4 linked regions of the Rhinolophus ferrumequinum genome follow. The protein of the gene in region 1 interacts with the protein of each later gene in a pairwise test. Links are inferred from orthologs where the notes say so. Each region holds a gene or a part of one and is shown in the gene's direction. Other genes may lie near its edges.

Region 1 (6,873 bases):
TATTCCCTATGCTGTATTTTACATTCCGTGTAAAAATATATATATTTTTTTATTACAGTTAACATTCAATATTATTTTATGTTAATTTCAGGTGGACAGTGCAGTGGTTAGGCACTCATATAACATACGAAGTGATTAAGAACCATATTTCTAAATAGAGCAGGAATGACATCTTCAGATGTATTATTGTTATTGCTGTGTAACAAATCACACAAATGTAGAACTTACAGTTTGTGTAGTGGCTTAATACACATTTACTAATCACAGTTTCTGTGGGTCAGGGATGTGGGTGCAGCTTAGCTGGGTGCACTGTTCAGGGTGCCGTCAGGGTCTCAGCTTCCACCTCATCGGAGTCTCAGGGTCCTCTTTCCAGCGCCCATGGCTGTTGGTAGAATTCATGTTCTTGTACCTGTAGGACTCGTGATGATAGACCAGCAGGAGAATCAGTGACCTTAGAGAATGCCTCAGCCCCCTTTAAAGGGCTTCCATCTGATTAAGTCAGGCCTACCCAGGAAAATCTCCCTTTTGATTTATTTAAAGTTCACTTGTTTGAGGCCTTAACAGCATCTGCAAAATCAGTTCACCCTTGCCATACACAGTAACCTAATCAAGGGAGTGACATTCATTTCCTTTGTCATATAATCCAACCTACTCCTTGGTGTGTAACACTAGGGGACAGAGGTCACAGGGGCCACCTTAGAATTCTGCCCACCATATGCCTATCTATCAAAAACTGTCATGTGACATGCAAGCATCTGTGATTTATGCTGGGGACCAGGTCACAGAAGGTAATCCTAGGATCTTTGATAAGTTGACCAAATTTATAATTGAAGGAAGTACCAAGTTCCGGTTTAGTGAGAGATTAAGTTTCTATCATCCCAGCTCATAAACAACTGAATTTTCAATTTGACCCAAGTCAAGAATACCTGCTAGATGTCTGTGTGCTTCTAACCACACATCTAATCACACCAACTCCCCAGTGATCTGGTCCGTTTCGTGGACTGTGACCTCGTGTGGCACTGGCCAACAGAAATATAACATGAGCTCATATAGTATGTTATTTAGAATGCACTAGTGGCCACATTAAACAAAGTAAAAAGAAACAGGTCAATTAATTTTTCCCCCTTCCTCCACCTGAGCCCCCAACTCCAGTTCAAGCCATTGTTTCTCAGTCTAGTTGTGTAGGACACAGCTCCCTGGCCCATGCTGGTGTTATGAGCCTTGCGCTCCGCCCCCCGCCCCAGGCAGTCAGTTGCCAGAGGTCGGTCGCTCACAATGGCTGCTGGCCACTTACGCTGGCCACCGGCCGCTCCTGGCAGCACATGGTAGGCCATGGCAGCACACAGCAACCCACAGCAGCCCACGGGCAGCTCATGCCTACCTCTGGCTGCTCTGGCAGCCCAGCTTCAGGGAGAGCTGTTGTTCACAATCTTAGCTGTAGAGGGTGCAGCTCACTGGCCCATGTGGGAATCGAACCTGTGAACTCGGCGTTAGGAGCACAGTGCTTCCATCACCTGAGCCACCAGGTCAGCCCCAAGTCAATTAATTTTAACAATAATTTTTATTAATCCCGTTTATCCAAAATAGAATCATTTCAACATGTAATCAACATAAAAATATTAATAAGCTATTACGGATTTACAGATTCTTTTTCATATGAAGTCTCCAGAATCCAGTGTATGTTTTACATTCCCAGCACATCTCAGTTCAGACTTGCCATACTACATTAACCAATTGCCCTATGTGGCAAGTATCTGCCATCTTGAAAAATGCAAACTTTGACGGGGACAACTTCCCCATTTCTGACTCCAGCTCAGACTTCTCCCCTGAGCTGTATACCTGTGTGTCCTCCTGTCCAGTGCCATCTCCTTTTCAATGATCTTAGGTTACTCCCTAGCGTTGTAGAAATAGTTTGTTAAAATTTTTTGTTCTTAGTAGCTGTACGGAGCAAAAGTAATTTATTAGGTCAGATATACACTACTTGGAAATTAGGGGACAAAAAGGTGAAAAACCAAAAAACAACAACAAAAATAACCTTGCTGAAACATTTGGGAAAATAGCAAAAACGAACAAAAAAACTGCTTTAGGACCCATACAGCATACAGGAAAAGGGTCAAGATGTGGGATCTGATATTTGATTAATTGGAATTCCTCAAAATTTAAAATGTCTGCTCTTCTAAAGACAACATTAAGAAAACGAAAAGACAGGTCACAGATTGGGATAAAATATTCAAAGTAGCTATACCTGATAGAGACCTGCATCCAGAATCCATAAAGAACATTTACAGTTCGTAAATAAAGAAACAACACCCTTTGTAAAAATAGGCAAAAGACTTAAACAGACACTTGATAAAAGAAGATACACAAATGGCCACTAAGCGCAGGAAAAGAGGTTGAACGTGAGTGGCCAGAGCAATGCAAATGACAACCACAATGAGATGTCTTCATCCCACCGAACTGGTGAAAATGAAAGCCTGATCAAGTGCTGGCCAGGATGTGGAGCTATGGAACTGTTCGTGCATCGCTGATGGGAATGCAAAATGGTAGAATACACAAGAAAACATTTTGGCAGTTTCTTATAATATGAAACATACCCAGCATACAATGCAGCAATCTGCTGCTAAATTTAACAAGAGAAATGAGTGTCCACAGAAAAACTTGTACATGAACGTTCATAGTCACTTTGTTCATAATAGCCCCAATCTGGAAACTACTCAGATGTCCATTAACAGGAAAATGGATAAACAAACTGATCCATCCATACAATGGAGTGCCCCTCAGCAATAAAAAGGATTGCACAACCGTTATATGCAACGACTTGGATGAATATCAAAAGCATTATGCTGAGTAAAAGAAGACAGACACAAGAGAGCACATACTGTATAATTCCATTCATTGGAAACTTTAGCTAAGTGAAAGCTAGACTGTAGCGACAGAAAACAGTGATCGCTTCAGGGGCTGGGTGGGGGAGGTATTAACTGGAAAGGGTCATGAAGGAACTTTCTGGGGAGATGGATATATTCTACAAATTGCATTCATTTTCATCCAACTATTAACTTTTTCTGCAGGTCGAGGAAAGACCCCCTGGAGGAGGTGGTGTCTAAGCTGTACCCTGACTGACGAACAGGAGGAGTTGGCAGACAAAGGGAGGTGGGTGTTTGTGGCAGGGAAGGGACTTAGCAAAGGCCAAATGGTTTGAGTGGGGTCGCTGGGTTTAAAAATCTGGGAATACTTAAGTAGAAGGCTTGAGTTTAAATGCCTTGACTTCTGTGTCCTATTGCTGACTTGCATCGGGACCCTGGACAAGCTCGCTCTCTCTCTCTTGGCCTCTCATTGCTTCAGTTTTTCCCTCAGGTAGACGAGCACAATCACCCTTGCTCCTCTTGGACTCCCCTCGGACTGGGAGAATCCACCAAACGGACGAGTGACAGTTAGTTTTTGCCAATCGCTGGAGTCTAAAGCCCTGCTTCCTCCCTCCTCGTAGGCCAATCGCCGTGTTCTTGAGACCAGCCGCTTGGAGAGGGCTTGCCAAAGGCTTCGTGACGTCACATTTTGGATAACTCAGTAGCGGCTGCTAAGAGGCGGGTCGTTTCAGTGATGGACAGATTTATTTCAAAATGTCCGCTAGCGCGTGGCCTGCCGGGAAGCTTTGAGGCGGTGCTGGGGGGAAGGGGCGGGAACTCCTGCTTGATTTTAGCCAATCATCAGTTACATTTCTTGCGATAGACGGGCAGTCTTTCCCACTCCTGTCGACTTGAGGGGGCGGGACTCTGCACGCCAGACTGGGAGGGCCCCTGAACTTTGATGAGCGTCTACTTGGCCCAATTGCTAAGCGGTATTCCCAGACGGGCCGCCTCCATTACCAATGAGATTTCTTGGCAGGGTCGCGGTGGGCGGGCCGCGGACCCTCCGGTATAAGGCGGTCCCGGGGGAGTGCGGAGAAGGGGGGGTCTTGGCGGCTGGAGGAGTAGGTGCGGGTGAAGATGGCGGCAGCCGAGGCCGCAAACTGCATCATGGAGGTGAGCATCTGGAACGCCGCCGGGGGCGGGCGACGGTTTGGGGGCTTGGTGTTTCACGGGTCCGTCGTGGGGAAGGGGCTCCGGGTTGGTGGATGGGAGCTAAAGGCGTCCAGCTATACGGAAGGGAGGCCCCATGCTCCGGATTCAGGAATACCGTTTGAAGTGCGGTTTCCATAGCTCTCGGGGGCTTGCGTTGTCCCGCCAAGCCGATGGTCTCGTGCCCCCTCTCAAGTGGAAGAGGGCTGGGGTGCTTCCGGCCTGGCCCCCTCGTGGCCGGGGCGCGGTGGGTGGGGAGGGGGTGTGCCTTGCCCGGTGGCCCAGCGGGCTCCACGTGCTGGACAAAGGCCCCGCCCCTGGCCGGGGGAGGGGCGCCCCGGGGGGGCGGGGAGGAGGCTCCGACCCTCCTTCGGAGGCCCCCAGCCTTCCTCCCGGGGGATCGCGACGTACCCCTCCGGATGGGATCTAGTTGGGGCCCTCCGCGAAGTAGAGTCTCTTGGGAGGGGCGGTGTATCTCGACACTCTACAACCCCCTTCCTTGGACAGGGGCATCTGCTTAGGCATCGGTCCAGGTTTTGTGCACTTTTGGGTTGGGATTAGAGGAAGACGAAGAATTGATTCCCTCCCGCCCCCCACCCTCCACTTCCTGTCCCTGGATTCTCCCCCGGCAGGGGCTTTGGGAACTGGGGGGGATGGGGCATGCCCCTGTGACCTCCGTCTGGGTGGTGGTGGGGCCTCAAGCTTGAAGGAGATCCTTCCAGATAAGGCGCGGGGCACCCCCTTGTGGCCATTTCTGGGTGTGTGGGTGGGACATCTTTTTCATGGGGCGTGTCTCATAGCCCACTGTCCCATCCCGTTGGAGGCCTCCCGGGCGAAGAGAGGGAGAATCCATCTCCTGGGAAGGGGATGTAATGGAAGCTGCGAGTTTTACCCCCTTTTCTCTCCCCTCGGCATTTGTGAAGGTGGGAGATGACCTCCCCTTTCCTGAAGCCCTGTTTTGAGGGTCCTTGGGCCTGGATCCCTGAAATGGTTTCCCAAGAGCTTGGTTCTTGTGCAGCCATGTGGGCTCCTGGCGCTGTTTCAAGCCCTTTGGGCCTTGTCTGGCGGTGGTATCAGTGGTATTGAGAAATGGGCCCCAGTGGGAAATCCCCTTACCAGCCGGCCTTTGTAGTCATCCTCACTGGCTTGGGAGAATGGGGGTGGGGCTTGGAGCCCCGTGGGTCATGCCAGTGACTTCACACTTAATGGAGTATGAAAGGTGGTCATATTTTGGAAGAGGTGTAATCTGATGAGGCGTCTGTACTCCCATCCCTTACCTTGTAGCATTCTCTGGAGTGGAGGTCAGCTCCCCAGGGTCACTCCAATGACTCCCATCCCCCTTGGCTGGTTCCTGGACCAGGGCCTGTATGGGTGGAGGAAATATCTTCTCCAGAGGTTGCCTCAGGACTTGGCCCCACAGCTGGGTGGATTCTGGGCATGGGATGGGTGTCTGAATGGGGGGAGATGGGCTCGAGGGTCCAGTCTGGCCTCTTCCCAGGGACTGTTCCTTCTGGGTAGAGGGTAATAAGCAAAGAGATTGCCTCCAACTGGTTTTATTTGGGGCTTCCAGAGCCCAAGGCAGGAGCATGGGGCCAGAGTGCCAGGTCTGGTGGGGGTGCCTGTGTGCCACACCTCCTTTCTGGAATCTCTCAGACAAGAGACTCGTTTGCTGAAGTGGCAGATGCCCAGTTGGGTACCTCCTGGCAGCCCCCTCCTCCAGCTAGCTACTCATGGCACTGCAGCCTGAGGGTATATGTCAGGAAGTGTCACCTAATCTGGGGGGATTAGATGATGAGGGGGAGCGACAGCTGGCAGTGCCTGTGTGCCCAGCGGATGCCAGTTCCTCTGGGCTAGATGGGGGAGGTGTGTATGGTCAGGTGCCTGGCCAGAGAGGGGTAATGTGGGCGTGGTCCGCCATCTCTCCAGCCACAGCTGAGACAGACCCCTCCCTTCTCCCCCCACTTGTCCCACCCCTTTTGGAAACAACCCTGCCTCATTACTTGCTCCCTCTGTCACCACTCCACCAAGGAAAAGGAAATCTGCAGGAAACACCTCCCCCGCCCCCAAGAGCCAGGGTCCCCTGGCCTGGCCTGCCCCTAGCCACTCCCAGTAGCTAATCCTTTCTCCCTGTTACTCTCTCCTAGAATTTTGTAGCCACCTTGGCTAATGGGATGAGCCTCCAGCCGCCTCTTGAAGAAGTAAATATCCTTTTGTGAGACCCTTCCCCACATTAAGATATCTTGCCACACAATAGGCCCTTTCTAGCAGTCTAACCTTGATCCCTCTTGCTTCAAACCAGTTTACCCCATACCCCCGAAACACTTAGTACAAACACCTCCAGGTTTGTGGCCCCCATCAGGCCTCCCCAAATACTGTGGCTGCTTCCTTAACTCCATTTCCAGCCCCCCTTTGCCCTTCCCTGTGTTTGCCCCAGTTCTGCCTTCCCCTCCCCTCCCCAGCTGTGGGCTGAGCTAGAGACGGGGGCAGAGAGACTGGAGAGATGGTAGGCGTGGCTGAGGTATTGGGGTACTCCCTGGATGGTGCTCTGGGGGGGGTCCTACAAGAGGAAAATGGGGTTTTAGGTTTTGGGGTTCTGGGGGAGGCAAGATGGCAGGAGGGTTGCCATGGTACGATTTTTGGGGGTTTACTCCAGGGAGAAGTAGGGACCTGGAGGCTTAAGAGGCTTTGGGGAGCCCTCAGGTTTGACTCATGCTCCCCTCCGCCCCCTCCCAGGTCTCCTGTGGCCAGGCAGAAAGCAGCGAGAAGCCCAACGCTGAGGACATGACGTCCAAAGATTACTACTTTGACTCCTACGCTC
Region 2 (7,438 bases), on another chromosome or scaffold:
GTTGTGTTAAATTCTTCCATGAGACCAAGTGTTCAGCACTCTTAAATTGGATTTAACAATCCTAATTGGACTTGAAAGTTGACTCTCGCTTTCTTGAGTCAGACTAGGGGAGTGGGAAGGTGGAAAGGAGAGCTCACTGTGCTATCTTTCTTTTTTCACTTTTTCCATATTCCCTTAACAGAACCCAAGGACAACAGAGAACTCATGAAAAAAAATTAAGGACAAAAAGAATTTCAAAATCAGAGACGACCAATATTAGGTTTGAAAATATAAAGGCTTAAAAACAGGGAGGTTTGATGTTATTGGTTTTGACTCATCTCTTCTGGCTGTATAGCATAAAGAGACTATGAAGTCATTATAGGTAAATATTTACAAGACATTTTCTTTTCTATCAAATCTATCCAAAGGACTGTTGATCCCCAGTGCTGAGATCTTGTGAGGCCACAATTTTTGTTCTTAGATACTGTTGCTTCTTAGAACGAATTCAGATTGAATTGAGAAGCCAATTTGCAAACCACATGAGGAAATGTTCTCATTATCTTATATCATAGTTTGCTTTGGACCCTAAGTAGTATTCTCCAATTTATTCATCAGATTGACTATGATTTTTGACTGGTAAAAATATGCACCACTACAAGTGAAGAATCTGACAATGCTGAGACTTGAATCGAAAAGTAGCTTGATGAATCAGGTTTGGAGTCACACAGACCTGTATTTGAGTCTTAGTTTAGCTATGGGGCCTTGAGCAAATGTTTTAACCTCTCTGAGTCTTGTTTCCTCAATAAAATGGGATAATATTACTAACCTTTAAGGTTTCATGTAAGGATCAGCAATAGCATATGTAAAACACTTGACACACAGTAGGAGCTCAATAAGTGATTATTGTTTAAAACGTTATGCCACTAAGATGGAATTACACTTTCTTTCCATTTTAAAACAGCTTTGATGAATTTGAGAATTAGAAGGAAATTCAATAAGCCAACCCAAGGATAATCTTCCAAAGAAAAGATGCTACAAAAATTACAATAAAGCAGGAGTGCAGTAAGGTCTCAAGGCAAGTTGACTACAAGCTATTACTAGTTAGCCATATGGCACCTTATTTTTTAAATGAAAGACAAACAGCCTTCAGCGCTGGTCAACCTTGATTGGAACAGCCCTGTTTGGGAAAATGCCTTAAAATAATAAAAATTATTAACGTTCGATGAAGAAAATAAATAGTTCTATTTGACAATGGAACAATTCAAGGGAGAACTGAAGTTTTGAAATAAAGCTGAGTAGAGGACTCTGGGCACCTAAGTGTTAGCAGAGGTTGGTGGTTGATGCCCTTTTTTCCACTAACAATCTACATGTGATATTCATTTTCATTTCTCTATCCTTTTCTTCCTTTTTGCATTGTTTCCTTTTTTCCTTTCTCCTGTCGCTGCCTTTGAACTGTGGGCAGGTTGGCTTATCCTTGTTATTGGCAAGTGAAGGCATTTTGAAGAGGCTGAATTGATGTAATCTTGTTTGTAGTCTGAGGAATAGACTCAATGTTATGAAAGGGACAAGCATGATGAAGATGAATCTAAGGGCACAGTAAGAAGGTTTGATGATTTAAAACATTCTCTGTTAACTTCAAGTTGTAAGTAGTAAAAGTAAAAGCTTCAGTTGGAATATTCTGGTACCCGGTAATTGTTTTAAGAAGCAAAAGTATGTTCAACATATTAGCTCAGACCACAGATTTGGTGTGTGACAACATATTAGCTCAGACCACAGATTTGGTGTGTGACAGGGAAGGGTTGTGGAATGGCCTGGCTGCACTGTGTTATCTCAAAAGATTAGGGATATACCAGTAGCTGGAGCTCTCCTTAACAACTCATTTTTATTATGTTTATTTGCATATCTGACCTGCCTTGTGAGCTCAAATGTAAGCTCTTTGAGGACAGAGATTGTATTTTATTCATTTTATGTTCCCTACTTTTAACAGTGATTTGTATGTAGAGGGCATGCAATAAATATTTGTGGAATATTGAATTCATGAATACACACACAGTCTTTTTTGGAAATGCAATGCTCAGATGACCATATTTTCTAAATAAAAGAACTAAAACATATGGTCTGAAATGGTGGAGTATACTTATGGGATTATATGGCCAAATACTTTAAATATTATCCCAGAAAATACTGAGTGATAGAATTGCTTTAATTACAATATCCAGCCCAGGGTTTCTTATCCTGTGGCTAATGGACTTAAAAGAGTCTCTGAACGGATTTCAACAGTCCTTCAACTGGGATGGAAAAAAAATAGCACTTTTATTTTAACTAATGTCCAACTGAAATTCAGCATTTTTCCCCCGTTGTGAATGTGGCAACAAACCACAGTAGAATTAGCAGTACCTTTCATTGTCAATAGAAATCACAGACATTTTTGTATCATATTATAGTTGCTATGGATTTCTTGAAATACCTTCTAATTGCTTTAAAATTTCAGTAGTTATTGGACCCCCTGCAAGATCTTGACATTTAATGTGTTAATAAAGAAAAACAGATTACTGTCACAAATTTGTTTTTAAAATGTTTCCTAATCATATTTCAATATAGTTTCTTTTGTAATGCTATATATTTTATTTTAAAACCTAGAAGAGTTACATAGCTTTTACCAGACTGTCAAATGGTACAAAATATGTTAAGAACACTCAAGCTAGAGACTAATAAATTTTAAACTTCAAGGTCCCTCGCTTTTTACCATGTCCTTCCTACCGTGTTTCCCCGAAAATAAGATCTAGCTAGACAATCAGCTCTAATGCGGCTTTTGGAGCAAACTTTAATATAATACTGGGTATAAGACCGGGTCTTATATAATAAATATAATATAATATAATGTAATATAATGTAATACCGGGTCTTATATTAATTTTTGCTCCAAAAGATGCATTAGAACTGATTAGGGTTTCCGGGTGGGAATTCCCGCCCGTTCTCAGGAATTTTTTTCGCTTTCCCGGTCCGGAATCCCAAGATACAAACTGTTTTCTGTTCTACACGGTGAATCGTTTCCACGAAGTAACAGCCGGTACTACCAACCACCTGGGTTCAAGGAGCTGATTTTCCTGATTTCCTGACCAACTTTTCTCGGGATTCGGGAACAGAAAAGTGAAAAGAATTCCCGAGAACGGGCGGGAATTCCCTCCTGGAAATCCTAGAACTGATGGTCCGGCTAGGTCTTATTTTTGGGGAAACATGGTAGACTATTCCTATTCATCATTTTATAGTATTTTGTTTTTAAAGAACCCAACATTTGTTTTAAGTTTCACACTCCATAGCACAAAACTTTGATGCACCAAGTCATTTAGCTCGGTACTGGGCACACAGTGAGTTTCCAATAATTAATTTTTGGTTGATAGGGTCTGAGAAATTTAAATGATATTTGAGCGTATCTGGAAATCCTGCAGACCACTGCTTGACCCTCTCCACTCCCTCACGGGTGGGGCTTTGGGGGTTAGGATAGAGGTAGGGAGGGAAGGGCTGGCTCTACAGAAGTGAGTTTGGAGGGCTGTGGGATAAAACAGATTTGGATTACCGCAAGGACAAGGAACAAAATTAGTAGGCGCGGAAGGTGAAAAACAGGTTTAGAGATAACAGGAATTAGTTTACTTTGAGGAGCAGTCCTTTTCTCTACACGGATTTTTGGCTTCATCTGCCCTATCTATTTATGAATATTAATGAGCTCCAAACCCTGTGGGGAAAAAAAGCCCTGCTCTATCATTTGTGAGTAACATTGTTTTCAGTTTTGCCCACCTGAGAGATTTCGCTCACATTCTGAGCTGCTCCCAACGATGTGTGGAAGGGAGCCAGGGAGACAGAGGGGCAGTGTTCCGATCGTTCCAAGCAATTATTTTCTACACGAAATTCCCCAAACGACCAGCCAAATCAACCTTCAATCGTGTTCTAACAGGAGTCCAAAAGATGACCTAGAGGGAGGCCCGACCGCGTGGCGGTGGGCGTGTCTGGGGCGAAAGCTGGCGGCGGCGCCGCTAAGGGGGGCGATTAGGGACGCTGCGGTACCGGCGAAGGGGGGTGGGCCGCGGCGGAGAGGGCTGGCGCGGACGGTAAGGGGCGGGGTTCCGGAGGTGGCCACGCGGTGCGAGGCCTAGGGCTTAGATCTCGTGTCGGCGGCAGGCAAAAAGGGAGGAGCCTCGACCCCCCAGGGCCTGGTGCTCCGCAGCCTTGCCTCTACTCGGGGCTTCACCACAGACCCCTTTGTGTTCCTACCCCCGCCCCGGAGGCGCCCCAGCCAGTGGCGCTGAGTTCTCTCATTGGTTCAACTGACGGCTTCATCGATTGGCTCCCGAGTCGTCCGGCGTGGTACGCCTCTTATCGCTTCCATTGGTCGCCTGAGCTGCCTCTCAGGCCGTCGCGCGAGGTGATTGCCCGGCCACTCGGAGTCCCTGGAAGCAGTTCCGGGAAACCCCGCGTGCTGCCGGGATCGCGTCTCTGTCCATGAGGGGGGGCAGGGGGTGGCGCGCGCGCCATTTCTAGTCGTTTTCAAAGCGCCTCGCGCTGATTTTCACGGGCCCAGCCGTCGGCCCCTGCTCTGCCCTGGTGAGTCTCGCGCCGGCCCGTGGGGGGAGGGGCCGGGAGCCCCGACCGACCCTACTGGGCCCGGCCCGGGCTCGGCGCCTGGTCCCCAGTTTCGTTTTCCCTCCGAGGTCCCGGGTGGGGGTGGGGATGGGCTGGGGGCGGCTTTGGCCTCGTCTGGCCGCCCAGTTGAGGGCCTAGCCCTGCTGAGGCGCATCCTCGCCCTCGTTCATCTCCCCCCCGCCCCTCCAAACCCCGGCCCGCGGGGCCGGCCTGCTGAGCGTCCTCCGCGCGGCCTGCAGCGGTCGGCAGTGCTTTTCCCGCCTCCGCCAGCCGCTCCACGCGGCCCGGCCGGCGGCCTGAGGCGCCCGCGATCCTATCGCTTCTTGCGGGAGCCGCCTCGCTCCCATCTCAGCCGGCCTAGCCACGAGTGGGATGTGTTGATGGTCGGGATGGGCTTGAGGGGGTGGGGTGGGCAGAGGGCGGGATGCAAACCCCGGGTTACATGAGCGGAGAAAACTTTTGTGGGAAGCAGAAGCCGAAAGGCCGACGTGTGTAGGAAGCCTCCCCTCCCCCATTCTGCATGCTGCGAGCTGATTTGAAGGAAAAAATGACTACTAGAGGCCATGAAACTTAGGCTTCAAGCAGCGCCTGAGATACATAATTCTAAGAATGTCCTAGGCGCAGTAAATTGGAAAGGCAATTATTTTTCTTATACGGTAGTAACCGTATTGCCAATATTTAAAACTTAAAGCCACGGGGTTCTTGAAAGGTCCAGTCTTTTCACACTGCCTGTTTGAGATTTTTGCTGTCCTCAAAGGCTGGATTTATGTCTCATGAGTCAGTCGTAGGATAAGGGCTTGACACTCCTAAATCATGAGATAACCGTTAGTTTTCATTTCGTTGGTTCTTTTACAGCTCGTCTCTTAATTTGCACAGAGATGTTTTAGAAAAAGTCAGGGAGGGGCGAGTGCTGAGTTCCCTAATTTCCCAGCAGCCCTTTTAAATCTTAATGAAATTTCTACTTTTTGCAAAAAATGCTTAGATCAAATGACTCCAGTCACATTAGTATTAGTATATTTGCTGCATCAGAAATATGGTTTGGCTGTGTGGCATTGTATTGAATTGAAACAAGAGTTTTAAATGGTCTCATGTGACCTAAAAGTCTTTTTTAAATGAGCACATTATATTTGGCTTGAAGAGAGGTTTTCCCTTGATCTGAAAGGTTTTATCTTCTGGAATCTAATTATTTTACATTTTTTTGTTAAAGTTTGCAAACTTTTTTTTTAATTTCAACCAATTTGAGAATCAACTTGCAGAGAGCCTTTGCAATGAAATAGTAATCATAAATATTTCTATCTTATGCTTAATATGCAGCTTGTCTCTTTGCTTTACACATACTTTAAAGAGCACACCACTTTAACAGATGTTCATCGAACTTTTCTGTTAAAAATTTGCTTTCTTTCTGTGACTAATAGTATTTCCAGGTGCAATACAGTGAGGGTCTTGTGATGCTGAGAACTTTTGAGTTCTGATGATCTCGTGGTTGTATTTGGGGGTGGGGGGCGCATGGGAAAACAGAACTATATGTTCACAAAGAGACTTTGGACTTTAGGATGCATCTATAGAAATAGGTTGTATTCAGCAAACATATTCATCTTTTACTATAAGTAGTTTCTTGATCAAAGTATGCCAGTTTTGAATGTTTTTGTTTTGCCAGTTCATCAGAATTTGAGGCTTGCCTTGAGAAACATTGATCCACCCAGAGTTTAACCACAGAGTCTGCGTCTGTATAGACATTAGTGGGCTATGAAGTCTTAATGATTTGTAATCATAAGAAGTCATGATATTGTTTATCTCATTTTCAGAGTAACTGCATTTTCCTCTCTTCCTACTCTATTACCTCCTTCCTCTCGTCTTCCTTTTTCATTAACTTCAACTAAATATTAGTGGACTTTGAAATGAAAAGAAGTTGTTTAAGTCAGAAAACTGCACCTGATACATTTGCACAGTGTTCGATAAGCAGTCTGGAAGTATGGTTATCTTACGAGTTGCTTTCTAGGAAACTTGTATTTTCTCTATAGGTGACTAGTTATCTTGAGTTTCATCAAGAAAAGTAGGCTTTTTCTTGAGATCCACCTTCATGTTCTTTATTTCAGTATTCGTTACAATGTCTTTATTCTGCTGCTTACTATCTTCATCACATTATAATTTCACCACAGATAAATGCACTTTAATTCTGTCTTTTGAGGCAGTATAGAGACTTGCCTTGTTTGTTTTTATTATTTAATCACTCTCTTCGGGGAGTTGGTTCATTTCAGCATTACATACAGGCTGAATATACAAAATGATGTGTGTAGGCTAATCTCAGCCATCTGACCTAAGTTTATCCTAATTAAGTAGTGTTTGTTGAAACAATTTGGAAGAAGTTAGCTTGTCCATTCCTCATTATGTTTTTGCAGCTTTATTTTACTGATACGAAAAATTCAGTATGTACTCATGATTTTTTTTATGAAGCAACCTCAACTACAGCTCACTTTTTATTTTGTGTGGACTTAAAACAATCGTTTAACTTTTAAACTTGGTCATTTTTTCTTTTAAATCTGTGAATGGCAATAGCAAATTAATTTTAGAACAAAAAATAATGTCAAGTTGTGTTTTTTTTTGTTTTAAGTGAGGCGGAGAAAGCCCAAACCACCAGTGTGTTGAACTAGAGACAACAGGGCATTTATTTCACACCTATCTTGGATTTGAAGCAGAGCTAGGAAAATTTGAATATTCTTAAACCTTGACTAAGTGGTCTGTGGGTGTTCATTATGTTTCCAAACCAAATTTTTAAAAACTGTATAAGAATTGAGAGCTGAGGGGCTTTTTAGGATTTTGT
Region 3 (7,572 bases), on another chromosome or scaffold:
TAATTTCTGGAGCCTCGCGGCTCGTTCTCACTCCTGAATGAGTTATGTGCACCCCACAAAAGACAAAGGGACACATATATCAGGGAAGGTCTGAGAGGCAGCCCCATCCTCCAAAGAAAAGCTTTGGTGCAGACTAGTCACTGAAGTGGAGGGAGTGTAGGAATCTTAGACACCGTCAGACCTCGCAGGCCCCCACGATGCAGCAATTCCTTCGTCAGCCTTCATGAGCAGTCGTTGAGCTGTGCTTGAATGTCTCCAGGGTCAGAGAACTCACCCCCTCCATGGTGGCCCCCTTCTAGCTGGGGACAGCTCTGAAAGTCAGAAAGCCCATCCTTCTCAGCACACATCTGTGTCCTGTGTCGACTACCCACCTGTCCCCAGAGAAGAGAGGAGGCCCAAACTCACCTTGTGTCCCCAGTGGGGAAGCACAGACTTCCTGGGACTAGCAATTCTGGTTCTAAGTCCTCGGCTTTGTCTCTTTCCTTGGGAAGTGGACAGTGACCCAGAGAAGCTAGTTTAGGGAGATGGCAGTGGTGCTCCCAGAGAATGGATGAAAATAAACCAAAGACTATCTGTGTCTTATGTGTCATACACACATTCCCCATCAGCTCCACGGCAAAACCTCTCCGTTTCTGGGGACACTTGGTATCTTCTCCTTCAATACTCTGTACATTAAGAAATAAGAGCGCTCACAGAAGACTGACGGGTTTCCTGCCGGACTCATGGGACCAATTCCTGACCAACTCAGACCCCACCTGAGGGGGTGGAGTAGGAAGGACTGTGGAGGCGAATATGTCCCTAAGCCAGGAACTGAGGACTCAGCGGGCACTTTCCTACCCTGTCTGTCCACTCTGGCTGCCCTCCCACCCCTGCCCCTCGGGACAGTGCATTCCACCCATTCGCCACTTCCTAGTCCTCTTCTTACCACAAGCTTGCCCAAGACACATGTGAAAATACATCAATGACCTTTGATTCAACACCTAGAATGTCAGCTAACCAAGTGCAAGTTTTTTATTGGTTTTATTCCCTATCGTGTCCCTGGTGCCCAGAAGAGTGTCTGGTTCATAGAAGGCGTTCATTAAAAATGTAAATACTTGTTGAATGAATATTCACTGGGCACTTTTATTTGCTTTTCTCTAAATTAAGTATTTGTCAGAAAGGCTGATGGCCCCCACTTCATTCACTGATTCAACCAATATTCACTGAGCTTTTACCATGTGCCAGGCACATGGTCCATCATGACTCGGAGGAAGCTCCCCATGGCCCAGAGAGGTGGGGTGAACTGCCAAGGTCACACAGCATATCTGTGGCAGAGGAGGACCAGGCCCCAGGCTCCTTGGCTTCCAGAGCCCAGATCTCTTTCCATGACACCATAGGCTTGTGATCGCTAGGCAGGGCAGACTGGCAGCACACACCTAGCCCAGCGCCAGGCCGCGGGGCACTGTGGGGCCCATTCTGAGGGACAGATGAGCGCTTTGCAGACAGCTGCCCTGAGTGACGAGCCTGGCCAGAGCCTGATGGCTTCCTGCTGTCACAGCTAGTGTGGGCTCCTCCAGGAGAGGGCGCCAGCGACTCCACCCGGCCTCTGCCCTCCCTACCCAGGCCCACATATCCCTTTGCACACATCAACAAATGCCCCTATTGCCAATACTCGGACAGGAGACACAAGCCATGTTCCAGGCTCTGTGCCAGGCCCTTTTGAATAGTTAATATTCATTTTAATATTTTATATAATAATTTAAAGCCATCACAACAACCTAAGTCAGGTCATGTAATTCCTCAGCTTAAAATCCTCTGAGATGACTTCCCAGTTCACCAGGAATAAAAATGCCATGGACTACAAGATATAGGCTACCTGGCGCCTGCTACCTGTCTGACCTCACGTCCCTCCACTCTTCCCCGTTCACTCCTTCCAGCCTGGCTCTTCCCTGAGCCCACCTCTGCCTGGTATCTGCACCATTTGCTTCCTCATTTACCGTGTTTCCCCGAAAATAAGACTGGGTCTTATGTTAATTTTTGCTCTAAAAGACGCATTAGGGCTTATGTTCAGGGGATGTCATCCTGAAAAATCATGCTGGGGCTTATTTTCCATTTAGGTCTTATTTTCGGGGAAACACGATAGCAAGGCTCTAACTACCCTATTTGAAAATGCAAGCCCCCAGCACATTCCTATCTCCATTACCCTGCTCCACAGTGTTTATCTCCTTCTCACGATCTTTATTATTTCTTATTTCTTTATATTTGTTTGTCTGCTTCCTCGAATATAAGCAACATAGGGACAGGAATCCTTGTCTGTTTTGTTCACTGCTATATTGTTCTAGTGCCTAGAACAGTGCCAGGTATATAGTAGGAACTCAAAAATATTTGTTGAATGAATGACTAAGCCCTGAGTTGGGTTACTCCCATTTTACAGATGAGGAAACTGAGGCTTAGAGATGTTAAATAACTTGCTCAACATCACACAGGTTAATTCAACCAACCAACCAACCAGCCAGCCAACCAACCAACCAACCAACCAAAATTTACACACCACCTGCTGCATTCCATGCAAATCTTTGAGGCACAGGGCTAGGTGGTTTGGGACAGTCTCTAGTCCTTCGTACTTGATGTTCCATCTACTTGCAATACGTTGCCCTTACATTTTTACCTTTTAGATTTCAATTTATGTTTAAGAATCAATTAATCATCCATCAGTGGTTGCCAGGGGCTGGTAGAGGGGGTGTGGTTGACTACAAAGGGGATGCCCAAGCAAATATTTAGGGTGATCAGACTGTTCTATATGGTCCTGGGGTAGCGAATTCACGATTCTTTGCATTTGTCAAAACCCGGAGAACTGCACAGTACGAAGAGTAAGCTTTAATGTGTGCAAACAACAAAATAATTGCATTGCCCAAGGCTCTCAGTCCCTATGGACATAATTCAGTGTTTAAATTGTTTCTTCTCTACCCTGTCCATGGACACACACACAAGTACACTTTGGCTTCTGTCTCCCAGAATGAAGGTGGCAGATAAGGAGGGAAGAGCAAGAGTAGCTTTCCCCATCTCCGAATGACTCAGGATTCCTCTTGCGGCTGCTCTCTGCCTTCCCAGGCTTCATCCCTCAGGGCTCAAGGTCAGGCCTGTGCCTCTCACCTAGACTGTTTTTAAAAAGCTTTTGTTTTGAAATAATTGTAGATTCACATGTGGTTATAAGAAACAATGCAGAGAGAGATGCCCTATATACCTGGTTTCCCCGGGTAACATCTTAACATGCATAACTATGATCCAATATCACAACCAGGAAATTGCCATTGACATAGATCATCCACCTTCTTCAGATTTTACCAGTTTTATACGCACTCATTTGTGTGTGTGCGCACGCACACGTGAATGCATTTATTTCTATGCAATTTTATCACGTGTAGATTCATGTGACCACCACCGCAGTCAAGTTACAGAACTATACCATCACAAAAGCTTCACCTGGACTTTTAGAAGTGGTTATGTCCTGTCTTGATGTTTTCCAAAGTGCAACCTTTAGATACATCAGAGTTACCTGGGCCACTTGTTAAATGTGCAGATTCCTGGACCCTCCCAGCACCCCCTACTGAACCTGTGTCTCTGAGGGTGGGGCCTGGGTACCTGTACTTTTAACAGGCACCTACTTTGCAAATCATAGTTCTCACTGGCCCCCAGCTCTCCCATGTCCAATCCACTCTCCACACTGTGGCTGCCAGAGAGATTCTTCCAACACACAGCTCTCACCATGTTATCCTGCCGCTTAACACCCTGCAGTGGCACCCAATGGCCGTCAGGATACAGACTTAGCAAGCAAAGCTCCCTGGGTCAGGCCCATCTCCCACCTCCACTCACCCCTCCCCACTGCAGTTCAATCCTTCCAAACTCTTCTGATTCTCAGAACACATCGTGTACTGTCATCATGCTCTGATTTGGTCATGCTGTTTCCTCTGCCTGGAATGTCCTTCCCATTCTTCTCCTCCTATGGCAACCCTATTCAACGACCCATTTTTACAGTTTAGGATTTGCAGGTTGAAAGAGACTTGATGTCACCCAGCAAGTAAAGAAAGGCAAGACCAGCTGAGAGCCCGAATCCACGACTCCCTGTTCCTGGTCTTACTGTTCACCAGGCTGTCATGGAGGCTGCAGGAGCCACTAGTCCCTGCTCTCTGGCTCTCTACTCACTTCCATTGGGCCTTCCTTCCTATCTGCCTCTCAGACAAATCAGCCAAGACCTCCTGTCCCTCTTTCTAGCCCAGTGGGCCTGGGACTCAGGGACCTGAGAGTAGGGAAGAAGGGAAATGGGACTGAGCCCAGGGGTAACCTGATTCTGGGAGTGGGCTTGGGGTACAGACCCACCATGGGGGAGAGGCTTGGGACCTGTTTAAACTTGAGGGGCAATGGGGGCCCCTGGAGGGAAGGAAGGAGCGGAGTGGAGTCCAAGTCCCCTCCTCTGCTACCCCCTCCCTCCACGGCTCCCTCGAAACCGAAACCCGAGCTGGGGGGCCTAAAAATAGCCCCCGAGGCGCAATTGCCGGCTGGCCGCCCTGGTGACCTTCTGGGTAGCACAGGCCGAAGGCGGGCGGGCAGCAGGAAGGCAGGGCGCCGGCCCCCCAGGACTCGTCTTCCAGGGCACCATCCTCCTGGTGCCCCTGTGACCATCAGCTCCAGTGTCCCCACAGCCCAGCTCTAAGAAGTCATGCAGAAAGCCCGGGGCACGCGAGGCGAGGAGGCGGGCACGAGGGCACCCCCAAGCCCCGGGGTGCCCCCGAAGAGGGCCAAGGTGGGGGCCGGCGGAGGTGCCGTGATGGGGGCACCAGTCTTCCTGCGGCCCCTGAAGGACGCGGCTGTGTTTGTGGGCAGTGACTTGCGGCTGCGGGTGGTGGTGAGCGGGACGCCCCAGCCCAGCCTCAGCTGGTTCCGTGATGGGCAACTCCTGCCCCCACCAGCCCCTGAGCCCAGCTGCCTGCGGCTGCGGAGCTGCAGGGCGCAGGATGCCGGCGTTTACAGCTGCAGGGCCCAGAACGAGCGGGGCCAGGCCTGCTGTGAGGCTGTTGTCACAGTGCTGGAGGTCCCAGGTAATGGGGAGGTGGCGGCTGGATGGGTGATCAGAGATAGAGAAGCGCTTCCCCAGGCCACGTGGGTTCATCCAGACTTCTTCCCAGGTGTTCTGGCTTCTCAGCTGCGCTGACCCAGAAGGGCCCACCAAGAGGGAAGTGCAGGGAAAGGGGTGTCAAGGTAGAGAAGCTCCCCACAGGAAGGTCAGAGGTCAAGGGTCAGCATTGGGTAAACAAAGCCTGAGCCCCACTCAGGCCTCTCTGGGAATTTCATAGTGGACACCCTCCTAGTTTCCCTGTAGCAAAAGGCCACCTGTGGAAAATCGTCTTCATCAGCTCCAGTCACTTAGACTTTAGAATCCTGATCAGCTCAACAGGTCTAAGAGAGGGAGCCAGCCCTCCTGATCCCCCTGAAATATTGAGAGGATGGGTCAGAGCTCCTGGCAGTCTGTTGCTGAGGCAGGTTGGTGTGCTCGGCATCAGGCTGGTTGGAAGAGGCCAGTGGGTGGACAAGTATGAATAAATAGGGTTCAGGGCATCAAGAGGTAGAGTTAGGGCTAGGGGCTCCCAAGCGTGTGTGGAGGTGGGTGCCTGAGAATCCACATGTCAGCATGTGCATGTGCTTGTGTATGTGTGTGTGGGCTGTGGAGGGGTCTGGTGGTATAAGCAGGGGAGGGATGGGGTTTGTGGAGTTGGTGTGGAAAGCCTCCGGGCCGTATCTAGCTGAAGAACGGAGGGCGTGGAAAGGGATGCTCAGGCAGGTCCCTGGGACCCTGCCCCCGTGGACAGAGAGTGCCAGGCTCCTGTGTGAAGGGACAGACAGTAGTCCAAGGCAGGAGTAGAGGGGATTGAGGCTGGGCCTGGTGTTCAGGGTCCTGCTGAGGCTGGTGTGGGTGCCTGGCCAGGGCCAATTCTCCTTGGGTCCATGTTTGTTCTTCCTTTTTGACCTCCTCAGCCCCTAAGCCAGCCAATTTTTCTCTAGGCCGAAGGCAGAGCCTCAGGCTGACTGAACCTTGAGGAACAGAATTCTGAGGAAATAGAGTGCTGTTAGAGGACAAGGCAAAGAGTTTGGGGGTCACTGAGTATGTCCTGGGCAATTTTCAAGAGGGAATTCTCAATCCAGCTGGGCGGTATCGTGTGGGGTACATCCTTGGGGACTGAGGAGGAGGCATAGGGATGAAGCTGGAGGGGAAAGAAGACTCTAAGGTGCAGCCAAGTCAGGAGATGGAGCAGGGGCTCAGCCTCCCTCTGCCAGCATCTCCTCTTTCCCTAGCCCCACTATGCCCCACCTCTAACAATCTTCAACGACTGGTCCACGGCTGGCTTCTCTTGGTTGGCTTTGTAATTGGCCAGATAAAGGCTTTCCCGGCTGGTGTTGGAGGATGAGGCCCATTCTGGCAAACCTCTGAGCTGGGGAAGGATCGGACTTCTTAGGAATCTTAGCTCCGGTCTCGTAAGGGGGCTGAAAACAGAACCTAAATCGAAGGGCCTGATAGACAGATTGATGAGAATACAGCGCAGTGGAGGGAGATATTAGGGAAGGAAAAGGAAGGGCTGAGGAAGGAGGTTGGTGGTCACAAGGTTTGTTTAGAGTTAGAAAGGACCACAGAGAACTGCAGCTCCAGACGCTTCCTTTTACAGGTGAGTTCACTGTGGTCCAGAGCACAGGGAGATCTGTCCAAAGGCACACAGCTAGTTATGGCCGCCCCAGAATTAAGAACCCAATCCTCCTGGCTTTGACTCTGGAAGCTCTTTACTATTCAAGGAGTTCTGGAGGAAGGAGAGAGAAAGGGAAGGTGAGCTGTCCATTGTATGGAACGTATCCCAGGACTGGCCTGTCTGAACACAAGAGCCTCCTAGCCTGCCTAGGTCCCCCAATGGCGTGGAGTGATGGTACTGTCTCCTCAGCTCCTCTGTAACCTGGGTGGTACGGCAGGCAGAGCTGAGGCCTGGCTGGGCATACCTAGATGGAGGCCAAGGGCCAGTCTCCAGGCTGCTCTGGTGGAACAGAGTGTGGGAAAGGAAAAGACCCTGGGTGCCGTGGCCCTGGACTTGGGGCCTTTTGACAGTCATGTTAAAACACGAAGAGTGTTGGGCTTCAGCAAGTCATGTTTAAGAACTTTTTCCTACCGGTTAAATCTGTACTCTAAGAGCAGCCTTATTATTATGAATTAGTAGTAATTTATAATAATGTGAATAGCTAGTATGCTACTGTGTGGCAATATGCTATCATATCCTTGGACATATCATTTAGGTCCCACAGCAACCCTGGGGAAACTGAGGTGCAGAGGAATGAAATGACATGTCCTGCTGTATAGATAGAAGGTGGCAGAGCAGGGATGGAAGTCTCAGTCTGTCCCACTGCAAAGAACCATGCGCTTAGCTATTACACCCTCCCACATGATTTGGGGGAGAGAGGGGCTTTCCTTTGGTGGTATGGGGGACTGACCAGGTGAGTCTGGCTTCCTCCTCCTATTGCCTTCCCCCCACCAGTCCCTGCCCAACGATAGGTACTGGT
Region 4 (7,850 bases), on another chromosome or scaffold:
TCTCCTTCTATTCCCAAACACACGCAAAAACAAATGCTTAGTCTCTATTTACTATGAATACTCTGTAAAGATGTCTCCCGCTCTACTCTGTACTTTTTGGTTAAACTGTAAGTTTTCCAAAGGAAGCACCACAGACACCTAGGACCCTATTTGGAAGTAAATTCACAATAAATATAACTTTAGTGAATGCAGCTAGCTGGCAAGCAACAATCAGCTGCCTCCAGCCAAGTCTGGAAGTCACAGGGCCTAAATGTACCTTCAGGGCAGGGGAGGATCCAGATGAGAGCAAGACTTCAGCTCGGTGGTATTACACAGGAAGGTTGGGGGAGGTCTTCTGGACAAACTTGTGAACTGTAATACAGCATTTAAAAAATTCTGGGACTTTCCTAACAATAATCCGGAAATCCTGGATCACATGATTAAAGCGAGAGACTAGAACATAGGAAGGTCACCTCAGGAGCAACTTCTGGATAGAATGGCGATATGAGAGAGTAGCAAACAAGCAAACGACACACATGCAGAACCTGGGGTAAAAATACTAAAATGTGTCTATAGCATTAGGGGAAACAAAGCAAAAAACCTTAAATGGAGGCAATGTGGACATTACCGTAAGATTCCTGAGCAACACCTCTAAGTGAACTTGGTCTCCATTTCATTTGCTTTGGAAATGCAGTCTATTCTGGAAGCAATTAATGCAATAATCTAACACGGCAGCGAGGAAAAAAAAAAAGTGCTACAGAGTTAACTTTTCTTCTCCCCTCAAATACTGACTATCAGATTTTAAGCAGTAAAAACTTTCTCTATATTCTTTTTCACCTGAGAAATTGTAAGTAATGGTTTTGTTTTGACTCATCTGTATTTAGATACGTCTATTTAACATCATTACACAGTATTTACCATGCACCAGGCTGTTGGTTGGGAGTACAAGAGTGAATGACATCAGATGCCTGCCCTCAAAGAACTTACAGACTAGAAAGGAAGAGAGACTAGAAAACATAGTAAATCCAGTATATCTGATAAGAACCAAAGCCAGGGCAAGGGAAAGCACAACACTATAGACATTTACTTGAGTCCTGAGGGCCAGAGAAGGATGCTTGGAGAATGAGCAGAACTTAGCTAGGTAAAGGGGAAAGAGACCAGGTATCCCAGACAGTGGGAATAGCATATAAAATGAATGGTATAATAGCTTCATGTAGTGCTATCAGATTCATAGGTTAATAGTTTAGAAAAGTTCCCAAATGCAAGGTCACGATGAAGTGCAAAACAAGACATTCAGTGATTTTAAATTAATTACTATAATTATGAAGATCATGCTTTATTTTGATATGGATACTTTTCCTATTTTTGGGATGTTAAAATGCCATCTTTTCCCCAAAATGATAGCGATAGCAGATGGTAATATGATTTAAAAAACAAAAAGTTTGGCAAAACAAAAGATTTTCAACCTTGTGTTGATCCCTAAATTTTACTGGTTTATGAAGCAGAAAAAAGAAGTTCATTTCCCTACCTTATTGCTTATTTTTCTTTTTCTCTTTTTGGTTCAAAAGGTCTACAGGGAACTCTGACTTGTTAGTCCAGATCAAACTGTTCAGTAACATTGGAGCTGAGGGACAGGAATATAAATCCCCAGCCCTTTGAAATTCTAGTTAGTTGTCCACTACTTACCTCTACGAAAGTACTTTCTGAACTCTTCAGCATTGTTTCCAAAGACCTGACATGTGTGCTTTTATTTGAAACTTATTTTGAAACCCAGGTTCATTTTCTGGATTTGTTTGGACAGAATTCCTAAGATTTATTTTTAGTGCTTTGATTGAAAACTTCCTAGGTTTTAGAAATTAATTTCATAATAATATTGTCAAATTGCCTGATAATATAAACAGCTAATATATATATATATATATATATATATATATATATATATATATTTGAGTGCTTATTTAGTGCTGGAGACAGTGCTACATAGTTTCTGTAGTTATTCCACTGAGTCCTCACAACAGCCTTTGTGTTTCTTAGATTACTGTGCAGAGAGGTTAAGTAACTTGCTTAACGACACAAAGCCAAGAGTTGAGTCCGTAAATAGTTGGGACTGTCCTGTAGTTTAGCATAACTACAACATGAGAAAAGTGTCATTATAATCCTAAAGCTATCATTAAATATCAGATTGTTTCTTTGAAGGGAAGAACCTGACTAAACTTCTGGAAAAATATTACTAAACATACGTATGTCCAGAACTGAAAACTATTAGCAATTAACATTGTGCACTATCTAAAGCTTGCATTTAGGGCCAATATTTATTTATTTACTTTTTCTTCCTAAGCTCTCCCTAGAACCCCCAGGTAAAACAGTAATTTCTTCAATCCATTTGTCTCTTAAAGGAATGAATTAAAGTGGGAAATACACACATACAATAAAAGAAACAGTGGGGAGAAACACTTCAGGGATATGTGAGTTAAACTTTTTGTTAACCCTATTCAATTGATTTTAAAAAACTTTCAAGAAGGGTTCAGCTGCTTCCTGGGAAGGTGGTTAAAAGTGGTGGAGAGAACATGGCCTTGAAAGACAAGTCTGAGTTCAAATCCTAGCATTTTGTTAGCTTCATTATTTGTTTTGTAGATGAATCAGTTTAAGCTCAGAATTATTGAGAATCCACGTGGAGAACAGCTTAAAGGAGATAAACTTGCACCGGATTTCTAATCTACCCTGTTTCCCTGAAAATAAGACCTAGCCAGACAATCAGCTCTAATGCGTCTTTTGGAGCAAAAATTAATATAAGACCCGGTATTATATTATATTATATTATATTATATTATATTATATTATATTATATTATATTATATTATATTATATTAATTATATAAGACCCTGTCTTATATTATAGTGAAATAAGACCGGGTCTTATATTAATTTTTGCTCCACAAGATGCATTAGAGATGATTTTCTGGCTAGGTCTTATTTTCGGGGAAACACGGTAAAGTTCAAAAGACTGATAATGTGAGGAAAACGAACAGAGCAGATACTTAAGGGTGGGTAGTGTTAGGAGAGATATCAGAAGATCTTGTTCTAGGGCCATGGTGATTTTAAGGATTTACTTCTGTTTCCCTACCTCCTTTCTGAGTAGTAAAAGAGGTTTCAAGTCCCCAGTTAAGTAATTATCATGATGCTTATTTTTAAAGCACGATTCTATCTGAAAAGTCCTAGAAGGGAACAAATGTACTTTATTTACCATTATTCTTTATGCATTTATTTAAAGAAAATTAATACTTTCCCAAGTCAATGTTTTTAACATTAGTATTTTTAAAGTACCTAAGTTATTTCACATGTAACTGCTTAACTATTGCGTATGAATGAAACAGTAATCTAGAAGTTATTCTTTCAAACCCAGTTTTACACAGTTCATGTAAACAGTCAAACTTTTTCTCTTTCTCCTTCCACTTTATAAGAAGTCCCACTTTTGCTTCATTTCTATGCCCTTTGGCTCAGTATTCAAAAAAGAGAAAAAACTCAAAGTGGTGTGTTTTGCAATATTGATGACCAACTAAGCTCAGGATATTTATTTCCATCTGGTAGAGTTCAACTTTCTGCCTCCTGTTTGCTTTCTCCATCTGCCTGCCTCACCATCTTTTTTTTTTTCTCTCCTCATTTAATGGAGTTCTGGTTAACCCTTTTTTAGGTCTAATTGTTTTATCAGGCTCACGCCTCCCTGCCAGTCTTTTTTTCTAGTTTTGAAGGTAGGGTTTCCAGTAAACTTAAATGTCTACGCCTAATACTTTCACAAGCTTCAGACTTTATCTTTATTTTCTTCTTTTTATTAAAGAGCAGCAGAACTCTAAGGTTCCGACAGTTATTTGGAGTAGAAAACAGCAATCTTTGGTTTTTGTGTATAAACGGTGTAAATTACATTACAGATTTTATTTTTTTTAATGTACTACAGTTATAGACTACAGTTCACAGGATCCAGGTTACTATTAATATACTTATCTTCAGTAACAAGCTTTTCTATCAGCACTAAGCTGGATTCAGGAAGGTGTCCACTCTTCTTGACTCCTTAAGTTACTGAAACAACCACCAAAATAGGCTAACTAACCTTTTATTTACTTAATTTGCAATTAAACTTTTACAAAGACACCCTCCCCACTCTTCCCCAAGGGTGGAGCAGAAACTGCCCCGTGGTGTTGGTTACACTTCTGCGAGGAGACCTGGGCTTCCTGAGGCTGCAGAATGCCCTCCGAGAGCCCGGTCCCTCCCCCTTTTCTCTGCATCTTTGATGCGCGCGCCCCCAGCACCTTCGGCACGGGCACCCGCTCGCCCACGTCTCCCGCTCGGGGAGCCAGCCACGTAGACCTGGAACTGGGACTGGATGTAAACACCGAGTGCGCGAGGGGGCCGACACTGCGGAGGTGCGGCTCGACCGGAGCAGCCGACGCGCGTATAGACAGCCAGAGCAGATCGGTTTTCATCTGTACAACACCAAGCCTCCTTGCAAGAGAGCCCCGGCCGCAGATGCTTGCAGAGGACGCACAGGCGCAGGGCCTCGAGAAGCAGACGCCGGAAGGAGGAGCTAGGACGGGGGGCGGGGCTTTCACACGCGCACCCTCGGTTTCCTTCGTCCTAGTCTCCGGCCGCCGCTCGGGTGTTTATTTGTTTACAAGCGGATTACGTCAGCTCCTCCCTCTCTTCCCGGTCTCTGGACCCACCCCCTAGCCCTTTTCCCGCCCCCTCCGGCTCCGAATCTGCTTGCGTCACAATGGTGCGATCTCTGGATTGGCTGGAGTCGGCCGTCACGCTCCAGCTACGCACTTCCTTTCCGTGGCGCTATAAAAAGTGCTGCACGGTTCCTGCATCTCTTTGCCCCTCGGAGCTGGAAATGCAACTGTTGGAAGCTTCAGAACCTGCGGAACTGGAGGCGGAGGCGGCTGGGGAGGTCCGAGCGATGTGACCAGGCCGCCATCGCTCGTCTCTTTCTCTCTCCTGCCGCCTCCTATCTCGAACAGAACTTTTTTACTATAAAGAAAGGAGAAAAAAAGTAGCCGCCCGCCCCTCACGCCTTCTCTGGCTCTCAGCTCTCTGACCTGTGAGAGAGCCCGGGTGGCCGCTCCGCCGTCGGGGCCGCACCGCCGAACCCGGGCAGCCCCGGGCCGCCCCCGCCCGCCGCCCCCATGCATCCCTTCTACACCCGGGCCGCCACCATGATAGGCGAGATCGCCGCCGCCGTGTCTTTCATCTCCAAGTTCCTCCGCACTAAGGGGCTCACGAGCGAGCGACAGCTGCAGACCTTTAGCCAGAGCCTGCAGGAGCTACTGGCAGGTGAGTGGGCCCCGGAGAGAGGGCGAGGGGCGCCTGTGGTATGCGGGCCCGTATCCCCCGCCCGGGCCGTCGGGGTCGCGGGATTCTCGGCAGCGCCTCGGGCCGGCCGCACTCTAGTGCCGCCACGGGACCCGGGCTGGTGCGCTGAGCGGCCGCTAACGGCGGGTCCCGGCAAGGGTTTGGGGGCGAGGCGGAGGGCGCCCCCTTTCCCCCACGACTGGCAAACGGAGGGGAGAAGAAAACAGACGCACAACAAAGAAACTAAAGCCAACTGAGGCGGGAGTTGCGGTCCTTGGACCGTCCGCGGAACTGGGGACAAAGGAGCGGTTGGTTCGATGCCCCCTCCCCCTAACTCCCTCCAGCCGTTGCTCGACGACCCGGCCTGGGAATGGGAAACCGAGCCGCTGCTCCGGAGCCAGCCTGGGACGGACGTGCAGTCTCTGCGCGCCTCCTACCCCAGCCCATTAATCATCGGATTTGTCACCGGTACAAATACAGCCCTGTGCAGAGCGTGGTTTAGGGTTGCTTGTTTTTCTTCCCTTCGGGGTAATAGTGCGGTGGTGCGTCTCTACTCCAAAGCCATAAACCCCATTGTGTGCCTCCGGGGTGGGGTGGGGTGGAGAAAGTAAACAGGTTCCCGCCTGGCCGCCGGTGCCATCTGGCTGGCCGGGGTAGCGCGCGTGATTACTGTTTTTGGCGGCTCAACCGGTTGGTTCCTGGAGATTATTTTGTCCCCTACTACTGTGTTGTTTCAAAAACCCTGCCGGATCTTTATCCATCTCCGAGCACACACCCCGAATGTAAGCCTGGGCATTTTTAAAAGTTGATAGGTTTCACTTTCACCCCTCGGAGGAGCTAGCGGAAAAAGGAAAGTCCAGCAGGAGCTACTACCACTAACCATCTAAGCATTGTTTCTCTGTTCTTTTCTTTTATAGAACATTATAAACATCACTGGTTCCCAGAAAAGCCGTGCAAAGGATCAGGTTACCGTTGTATTCGCATCAACCATAAAATGGATCCTCTGATTGGACAGGCAGCACAGCGGATTGGACTGAGCAGTCAGGAGCTGTTCAGGCTTCTCCCAAGTGAACTCACACTCTGGGTTGACCCCTACGAAGTGTCCTACAGAATTGGGGAGGATGGCTCCATCTGTGTGCTGTACGAAGCCTCACCAGCAGGAGGTAGCACTCAAAACAGCACCAACATGCAAATGGTAGACAGCAGAATCAGCTGTAAGGAGGAACTTCTCTTGGGCAGAACAAGCCCTTCCAAAAACTACAATATGATGACTGTATCAGGTTAAGATATAGTCTATGGATGGATCATCTTATAATGGATGGATAAATTTGATTTTTGCTTTGGGTGGGCTCCTCTTGGGGATGGATTATGGAATTTAAACCATGTGACAGCTGTGAAGATCTGGCACAAGATAGAGTGGTAAAAAAAAAATTTAAGTGACAGTGCCATAGTTTGGACAGTACCTTTCAATGATTTAATAGCCTGTGAGTCCAAGTAAATGATCACTATTTGCTAGGGAGTGAAGTCCTAGGGTGGTTACAGTTTCTCCCAGACATAATACCTAAATTTTTACATCAATCCCTTTAATGCAAATCTGTATTTCAAAGACCCTTTCTCTGCAGTAGATCTTGCAGAGGAAATTTGCACTATTACACTTGAAAATTGTTAACTTTTTGGCAGCTCAGTAGGAAAGCTCAACATTTTAAACAAGGTAGTACTGGAAATTTTATGACAAGACTTTTACCTAGCACTTAAATATGTATAAATGTACATAAGACAAACCTAGTAAGCATGACCTGGGGAAATGGTCAGACCTTGTATTGTGTTTTTGGCCTTGAAAGTAGCAAGTGACCAGAATTTGCCATGGCAACAGGCTTTAAAAATTAAGACCATTAAAAAGACACTGTCTCAACTGTGGTGTTAGCACCAGCCAGCTCTCTGTACATTTGCTAGCTTGTAGTTTTCTAAGACTGAGTAAACTTCTTATTTTTAGAAAGTGGAGGTCTGGTTTGTAACTTTCCTTGTACTTAATTGGGTAAAAGTCTTTTCCACAAACCACCATCTATTTTGTGAACTTTGTTAGTCATCTTTTATTTGGTAAATTATGAACTGGTGTAAATTTGTACAGTTCATGTATATTGATTGTGGCAAAGTTGTACAGATTTCTATATTTTGGATGAGAAATTTTTCTTCTCTCTATAATAAATTGTTTCTTATCTTGGCATTTTAATCAATCTCTTGTCCTGATTGTAGAGGTTCAGCTAAAGAAATATATTCCTCAGAAGACTTAGGGCCTATAAGCTATGTGAATGTCAGTTGCACACAGGTCATGCTGAAGAACATTTACTTGATAAGGAGTGGAGAGCATCTATATACATACTTAGTTGTTACAAGAAACACAGGGGTAACAAGTTTTTATTAAAATCTAAAGTTAAAACATGGACATATTGCCAGGCTAAAAGCAGGAAATGAGGATAAGAGACAAAGGTAACAACTACCAAAAGTGATAACTCAAAGGATTACATTTC

Evidence for each region.
Region 2: the proteins of PRMT1 (region 1) and HNRNPR interact in binary tests that used the Homo sapiens proteins (3 or more experiments, as listed by UniProt). The link is inferred for Rhinolophus ferrumequinum from reciprocal best matches to the Homo sapiens genes PRMT1 and HNRNPR.
Region 3: the proteins of PRMT1 (region 1) and SPEG interact in binary tests that used the Homo sapiens proteins (3 or more experiments, as listed by UniProt). The two-hybrid records come from large-scale screens. The link is inferred for Rhinolophus ferrumequinum from reciprocal best matches to the Homo sapiens genes PRMT1 and SPEG.
Region 4: the proteins of PRMT1 (region 1) and BTG1 interact in a two-hybrid assay, tested with the Homo sapiens proteins (2 studies listed by BioGRID). The link is inferred for Rhinolophus ferrumequinum from reciprocal best matches to the Homo sapiens genes PRMT1 and BTG1.

What each region holds. Positions count from the first base shown.
Region 1 is NC_046298.1:44,757,614-44,764,486, forward strand, and holds the start of PRMT1 (protein arginine N-methyltransferase 1), read left to right. Parts: upstream 1-3,863; 5' UTR 3,864-3,983; coding exon 3,984-4,019; intron 4,020-6,199; coding exon 6,200-6,253; intron 6,254-6,457; exon of another isoform or gene 6,458-6,555; coding exon of another isoform or gene 6,556-6,573; intron 6,574-6,788; coding exon 6,789-6,873. UniProt on the Homo sapiens protein: Arginine methyltransferase that methylates (mono and asymmetric dimethylation) the guanidino nitrogens of arginyl residues present in proteins such as ESR1, histone H2, H3 and H4, FMR1, ILF3, HNRNPA1, HNRNPD, NFATC2IP, SUPT5H, TAF15, EWS, HABP4, SERBP1, RBM15, FOXO1, CHTOP, MAP3K5/ASK1, MICU1 and NPRL2.
Region 2 is NC_046292.1:15,936,360-15,943,797, reverse strand, and holds the start of HNRNPR (heterogeneous nuclear ribonucleoprotein R), read left to right. Parts: upstream 1-4,422; 5' UTR 4,423-4,578; intron 4,579-7,438. UniProt on the Homo sapiens protein: Component of ribonucleosomes, which are complexes of at least 20 other different heterogeneous nuclear ribonucleoproteins (hnRNP). hnRNP play an important role in processing of precursor mRNA in the nucleus.
Region 3 is NC_046291.1:16,084,584-16,092,155, reverse strand, and holds the start of SPEG (striated muscle preferentially expressed protein kinase), read left to right. Parts: upstream 1-4,569; 5' UTR 4,570-4,696; coding exon 4,697-5,075; intron 5,076-7,572.
Region 4 is NC_046293.1:83,572,597-83,580,446, reverse strand, and holds BTG1 (protein BTG1), read left to right. Parts: upstream 1-4,842; 5' UTR 4,843-5,156; coding exon 5,157-5,304; intron 5,305-6,239; coding exon 6,240-6,607; 3' UTR 6,608-7,552; downstream 7,553-7,850. UniProt on the Homo sapiens protein: Anti-proliferative protein.